2 linked regions of the Xenopus tropicalis genome follow. Each later gene encodes a partner of the first gene's protein in a complex. Links are inferred from orthologs where the notes say so. Each region holds a gene or a part of one and is shown in the gene's direction. Other genes may lie near its edges. The genes, in order: cep152 and cep63.

The links.
Region 2: the proteins of cep152 (region 1) and cep63 are in contact, whole or in part, in a crystal structure (PDB 6CSU), measured with the Homo sapiens proteins. The link is inferred for Xenopus tropicalis from reciprocal best matches to the Homo sapiens genes CEP152 and CEP63. Residues at the interface, in NP_001181927.1 of Homo sapiens: Gly1261, Ala1262, Glu1265, Leu1266, Gln1269, Tyr1270, Lys1272, Ala1273, Lys1276, Ile1277, Asp1280, Met1281, Tyr1284, Glu1287, Ser1288, Arg1291, Ala1292, Met1295, Ala1298, Arg1302; in NP_001340037.1 of Homo sapiens: Phe666, Glu669, Glu670, Arg673, Ile677, Arg680, Leu681, His684, Glu687, Leu688, Glu691, Ser692, Thr695, Phe699.

The regions. Positions count from the first base shown.
Region 1 is NC_030679.2:103,988,695-103,993,169, reverse strand, and holds the start of cep152 (centrosomal protein of 152 kDa), read left to right. Parts: upstream 1-1,437; 5' UTR 1,438-1,668; intron 1,669-2,850; 5' UTR 2,851-2,889; coding exon 2,890-2,976; intron 2,977-3,673; coding exon 3,674-3,780; intron 3,781-4,475. UniProt on the Homo sapiens protein: Necessary for centrosome duplication; the function also seems to involve CEP63, CDK5RAP2 and WDR62 through a stepwise assembled complex at the centrosome that recruits CDK2 required for centriole duplication.
Region 2 is NC_030681.2:130,333,236-130,336,049, forward strand, and holds part of cep63 (centrosomal protein of 63 kDa), read left to right. Parts: intron 1-40; coding exon 41-155; intron 156-1,238; coding exon 1,239-1,430; intron 1,431-2,109; coding exon 2,110-2,228; intron 2,229-2,814. UniProt on the Homo sapiens protein: Required for normal spindle assembly.

The DNA.
Region 1 (4,475 bases):
ATTAGTTTAAGGGTGTGCACACTTATGCACCCACATTATTTTAGTTTTTTTGTTTTTCTTCCCTCCACCTAAAAGATTTCAGTTTGTTTTTCAATTGAGTGGTACAGTTTATAGGTCACATTAAAGGTGGAAAAATGTCAATAAAGACCAACTAGAGCAGCTGAACTTTATTTGGGGTTAATCAAAGGCACTTTAAATGATGGCAGGTGTATGATGATTCCTATTTAACATGATTTTGAATGTGATTGCTTAATTCTGAACACAGCTACAATCCCCAGTTAGAAGAGGGTGTGCACACTTATGCAACCACATTATTTGTTTTTTTGGTTTTCTTCCCTCCACCTAAAAGATTTCAGTTTGTTTTTCAATTGAGTGGTACAGTGTATAGGTAACATTAAAGGTGGAAAAAGTTCTCAAATGATTTATCTTTGTCTCATTTTTGTACAGCACAGGAACCTGACATTTTACCCGGGGTGTGTAGACTTTTTATATCCACTGTATATAGTTACTGTTAGCAGGGAGTGCGTATGGCTAGTCAGAAGGCCAAAGAAAACAGGATAAAGCCCTTAGGACCAAAGAGCAAACTTAAAACTAGAACAATCGAGTCTTCATAAAAAAATTAAAAAGAGCTATTCAAAATATTAAATATATATATATACACACAGACTTCAACTTACACATTTTATACTCTCTGGGACTTATTCCTAGGCATGTATTTATACGTTGTTCCCCTTTATGAAATGGTACTGGAGAGAATGCATAATGTAGGGTACCATAGAATATGTATGTATCTATATTTCTTAATAACATGTTTTAAATAAACGTTTTCAGTTTTTTACGAAGAATTTCTGACTTACAGACTATGATGGTTCCAACCATAAACACAGTTTACTAACTAGATACACGCATATTCCCACACACCCTGCCCCGTAAGAATCTGTTGGTCCTACGTTTCCTGAACACCTGTATGGACAATCCGTGTTTTTTTTTTTTTTTTACCGTCTAACCGTATAAAACACTGTGGTTTTAGGGGAATCGCCGTTGCCATGGCTACCCAGCCGCGGCGTGCCCCATTAGCACACGTTCATATCGCTTTTTTTTTTTTTTTTTTTTTTTTTTTTTTTTAAAGACGGCAGCTACGTAAAAACAAAACTCCCGGTATGTACCCCTTGGTCCAACCATTATGATTCATTATGACCAATTAAACGAGTCTCTCCTTATGCCAACAGTTACTAGGAGTGCGGTAATCCCGCCTCATATTGCTTCTCAGCCAATGGAACTCGCACGCAGGATTCCCGCTACCTCTCGCGCCACTAGCTCGCTTTCGCTGTTACTGGGATTGGTCAATTGGCAGCACGGCGCAGCCTATCAGGTTCATTTGTACGGGGTAGTCATTCATGCCGGGGCGGGTCTTGAACATACCACCAACCAGAAAGGCCTAACGACAAAGAGCTAGGAATTTCGCGTATGTGATTGGATAAAGATAATATCAATCTATTGCTCAGGGGCGAATTGGGTTTTCTGTGTCCCATTTTGACTGTTGAGAGGGAAGTCTGTTTATGTCCGGGATTTTGTGAAGTTGTAGAGTTGCTGATACGGAATTGTTGTTCCTGGAGCTGATGAAGAAGCTGGTGGCTTTAGCTGCCGGGGTGTAGGTGACTTGTTCTGGTAAGTTTTCACGTATTTACCAAGATGGAAGTTAGCACAACTGGATAGTAAGATAGGCTTTCTGCGTACACAGCACCCAAGATTCCCTTTCACATTCACAGGGACAGGTAGCAGCTTTCCATCAGACGAATTGGGTGTAGCCTTCCTCATTTATAGCCGATGTGAACCTGAAAATAAAAATGAATTTGTAATTCTAAGCAATTTTCCAATATACATTCATTACACCTTTTCAGTGATTTCAAAATTGTGTGCAAATACAATCGCTGAATGCAGCATTCATCACTTTCTGCCCTAATGGTTATGACTTCTGAAACTATGTAGCACATAGGACTGACTTCTGCTACATTGTTTCAAGGGACAACCCATATTACAGAAAGGTATAGAAACAATTATGCTCGTTATTAAGCATACATCTGCCTGCCTTGCATCTCATCCCCACGCCAAGGGTATTAATATGAAGTTGTTCCTTCCTGTTCTACTATTACAAGCTTTGCATTTCTTGGAAGGACTTCATTGTATTACGACATTGTTCTTGGGATGTGCTTCTATTAAGTCACAAGCATTAGAGAACTTGCACGGTCAGTCTCTGCTTTTAATTTGTGTTCTCATTTGTCCACAGTTGTCTGTTTTGTTTGTTCAGGGCACTATGTTAAGCTGGCCATACCCTGTAAGATCCGCTTGTTTGGCGAGGCAGCCAAATGAGCAGATCTTCCGATATGCCCACCTAAAGTGGGCGATATCTGGCTAATTCTCGTTTGGCCCTAGATCATTGTTTGGTCAAACGATTATATTAAACCGGCAGGCTCAGACGCCGCCGGACTGAGGACAGCATCAATGATCCAATGTGGTCCCCGTTCTGACAGAAAATCCAACCTTCCAGATCGAGATCTGGACAATTTTAGGCCAGATCTCATTCGGGTAGGCCCGTTGGGGGTGCCTATACACAGGAAGATAAGCTGCTGAATCGGTCTAAAGGACCCAAGTTGGCAGCTAAAATCTGCCTGTGTATGGCCACCTTAAGTTAGTCAGGTTCTTCCACTCCTATTTGAAAAACTGAAAATCATATACTGAGATTTTAAATTCCTAGACTGAAACATGGCAGTTGGCACAGGTTTCATTAGTGTCCACTGCCATATGCAAGGCTTGCTATTTAATTAATGTATTCACTTTTTTTTTTTATAGATATTTTATACCCTGTAAGGGTTTTGTGCATGCTTGATAATGTCTATCGATTTTGATAGTGGAGCACTGCAGATTCAGCAAGAGGATGAAGAGTATGATAAAGAGGATTATGCCCGGGAGCAAGAGGTGAGAAAGTGGTTCAGAATTAATTATAGTGTCTGGTGCAAAAGTGTGGTAAAGGACAAGCCACCTGTTGCTAGCTTTTCATTATTCTTTGTCTCCACTGCTCTCACCTTTTGTGTAAAAGCCACAGCAGAGATTAATTTACTATAACCATCTGTTTTGAATATTCCCTTGTGTACTTTGAAGGTCTTGTCTGTATATAGTAAAACTAAAGTCTGTCTTGTGATGTAAGCAGTAGAATCTTACTTGTTTAAACTATTTTACATTCTTTGTTTAAAGGGATCTATTATATGTTGATTGTGTGCAAATATTTTTTCACCACACTTTATATCAAACTACATTTATTTTAGTAGAAATACATGAATCGGTTTATTGCTGTATGACTTAAAGAAGTAGTTCACCATAAAATTAACTTCTAGTATGGTATCTATAAAGAAGCATATAAGGCATTTTGGGAATCCGCTTCTTAGGGTTCCATTTGTTTTCATTGTGGGGAAAAAAGTTTTGTTTGTTTGAGACATTATACATGTCATTAATTAACCCCTTCTTCTTCATTATCATTAAAAAAACCAGTGTTAAAAATCCACGCTATGCAGTAGTATATAAATAGTAGTGTGCAGCTAAAGCAAAATTCCAGTCTGGTTCTTTGTCTCCCCATTTGTGCAAAGTCAATAATGCCATTGTCTGTTTTGATTTAAAGCTGCAACAGTTGTTAACAGATCTTCCCCATGACATGCTTGATGACAGCCTTTCCTCATCACCAGAACCAAGCTATAGTGATTGCAGCGGCCATGAAGTTTCAGAACAGTAAGTGACAGGAATCCTTACAGTTAGATGACCCTTTAGTTGCCTTATTGGACATTGATGTCAATGCTGCCATTTTTTTTATATGCATTGGGTCAGTTATTCTTGTACGACATGGAAGGAAAGAAATTATATCAAATTATATCAAATGATGTCTTGTGAAGGAGCCATAGAAATCCCTTGCAGGCAGGCAACAGTTTGACAGCCCTTATGTAGGACATACTTTTAAAGGAGACCTATAACATAAGTAATACCCCCTAATCTTGTAGGCAGTAAATAATAATAATAATATGGGCTAAAATTATCATTTTCTCTAAAAATGACCCCTTTTATTGAAGCCCTCTTATACTTCCCCCTGGTCCCTGTCCAAATTTAAATAAAGGGTGGGTGTGTTCTAACAGCCCCTGCCAGAAGTGCAGTAGGAGTTGGATAACCAATCACAGCCCTACAGTCCCACAAGCAAAGACAGGCTTCAGTTCCCTATCAGGTCAACTCACTGCTGATTGGTTCCTATTCTTCTGTGAGTTTGCTGAGTGCTACTGACACATGCACAGCCAGGAAAAGGAGGCAGGGGGAAGTGGAATAGGTGGGTGCTAGCAGGGAACTAGCAGGGTTTTTGGAGAAATTTTCAAAAAATCAGGTTTTAAGCAAATTCCTTTTATGTTCAAGTGTATTATGTACAGGCACATTCTTGTATT
Region 2 (2,814 bases), on another chromosome or scaffold:
TTATGTCTGTCACTAAGGGTTCTCTGTATCACTCTTTTAGTGTTGAGTCTGTGGCAACACAGTGTCAGCTGCTGGCAAAGGAGCTAAAAGCAAAGGCGGAATATCTACATGAGGTTGAAGAGGAACATAAAAAATGCTTGGCTGAAATGAAAAAGGTGAGGACAACTGACCAGTAAAACCCCCAAATTTGTTAAAGGGTTTGTTCACCTTTGTACAACATTCAGAAATCTTAACAGGTCACATTAATGGAATATTTGTCATATAAATAGTTAATAAAAAATGTGCAGCTGAAGAGAGATTCTCCTCAGAATCATCCTCTACAATCTCCTTTTTACTTCTTTATATGATGTCACACATAGTACTGGCAGCAGATTTAACTTCTATTTACTGTGTCTCCCGTCAGTCTGACATTGCTTCCTGTGTCTGTGACAGAGTGCTGCAACTCTAACACAACTGTGTGTTAGATCTGTGATATGTGGCCTATGCCTTTGCAAGGGAGAAATTAACCAATATCCTTTTAATTTATGGAACTGGAATGCACAAGCAACCAATGAATTGGTCCAATGGGAAAAAAGTAAGGGCAAAGCCTAAACATGATGTAGGCATATAGGAAGTTCTCATTGTGTCAGGAGTTCAAAATAGGCCAGTCCTGTCCCTTCAGAAAACTGATCAGAGAGGCAGGAGAAGGACTGTCACCATCGTTCCTCCATCTTCTCCTTCACGGCTTTTGTAAAAACAAGTAGGATTGTAAAAATGGTAATTATGTACCAAACATAATAAAAAGATAATGCTTAGCTGTTATTAAGCTATGAGGTTAATTAGTGCAAACTCCCTTTTTGTGCAATAACAGGGTAATCCTTTGATTTGGGAAGTCCCACTTACAAAAGCATTCAGCAGCTAGTATAAAAATCCTTTTACAATGCAATATATATTGCAATTGGATAAGCAAGCATAATGCAATAAATAGTACCCTTTTTAGTGCTTATTAGGAATAACTGGTATATCGCTGACTATACATAATTGTTTTATAAAAATGGTTAGCATGGCAACACCCAAGGTGACTGGAAAGTACTGCTGGGACTGGGCAGGATTAATATTTAATTCCAGGGCTGCATAGGGATAGATGAGCTTCATTTGCAACTTGATATATTTAATTTTTCTGTATTCTGCGGTGCAGAAGACCTTTGAAGGTCTTTTGGAGGCGTGCAGATATGTTATTAACATTTGTGTCTCGGCAGCTGAAAGGCCAGCTCTCACAGACTGAGCTGACCCACAAGAGTGTGCTGGATGGGATGAGGAAGGAGATCTCACAGCTCACTCAGGAGTTACACACGAGAGATATCAGAATGGCTTCCAATGCAGGCATCGACTGGGAAAGGAAAATTCGAGCTGAACGGGAGAGAGCAGAGAGAGAGGCAGCAGAAAACAGGGTGAGCTCCAGGCTGCTCAGTTTTTGTACATTGTGCATATGTATGTTGTCTTAACTTTCTCATGCTAGTTCCCTTAATTTGCTTCCATTAACATTCTCCTGCTTTGCATTTTTTCTTATGTGTTTGAGACGCAAGTTTTTTTTTTTTATTGATTCCCTTATATTCTTCCTGCTTGTGCTCATGAGCAGTCAGGGCTATGTTTTTTCTTTTTTAGACTCCACATATTCTTGCGATTAATGCATGTTCAAAAGACCATAGAATAGAGGGTTGTGTTTACACTAACAAAATATGTACTTATGTTCCTTTTAAAAAAACACATATAAATGCAAAATATGTGGTTTTTATGCTTTCAGAATGCGTTTATAAATGCAAAAAAAACCCTCCTGTTTAAGAAGCTTAAGATATCATAGTTTTGTTAGATATAGAACACTTTCAGATGAGGAGGATAGAAAAATGTTTTTTCTTGGGATAGGCTACCAATTGAAGGCTTCGGAGAACATATAATTCATTTTTAATATATATGGTTTAGCCTTCCTAAATCTTTATAATATTCCCCATATGAAATATTTTATATACATTCATTGTTTTTCTTTTAGAAAAAGGTAGTTTTTTTCTTTAATATTACATTTATTTTTTCTTTTCTGTTTTCTTTCTTTCATACACCTGTTCAATATTACAGACACTGAATAATTTGGAGCAGGCAAATCAGAGGCTGCAAAAGGAGCTGCTGCAGACACAGGAGAAACTGGAGCTGATCATGCAGAGAAGAGAGTCTGAAATCCAGAATGCAGTGGATAGGTAAGCCATGTTGGAAGGAGGTGGCTATTCTGTCTAAGGAGCAGCAACACTCATATTTTGCTTTTTATGTTAGAAAAAATGGGTACCAAGATAAAGCAAGGAAAAGAGGAGTCATGCAGTTTATTACATTATGTTTGTTCGAGCAGCACTGACTGTATAATATCATTTGGTTGATGATTTTATATGTTATAGTAATAAGCTATAATTGTAACAGTATTTGTAGCAACACATCCATTGTTTATTCTGTACTATTATTGTATATACCTGTTGGGTTCGGGCATTAAAAGCACAGCAAGTCTGGAATCCACAAGAAGCCAACATTATTCTGCTGCATTTGGCAGTCTTGTATGCACTGCAGTAGTTATGGTATGTATGCAGTTTGCGTACAGCAAGAAGATTCACCGGATATCAGTGAACTGGCATGCAGCTGTGCTGATATTGTGGTACCTTTTCTTACTGTGATTAAACCAATGGTGGTCAGACTCAGCAAGTAGAGGGCTGCTTTTAATGAATTTTACACACCTGAGTCTACTATCTCAACACTGATGTGGAATATGTAATATTGAGCTCAGTGTTAAATTAATCT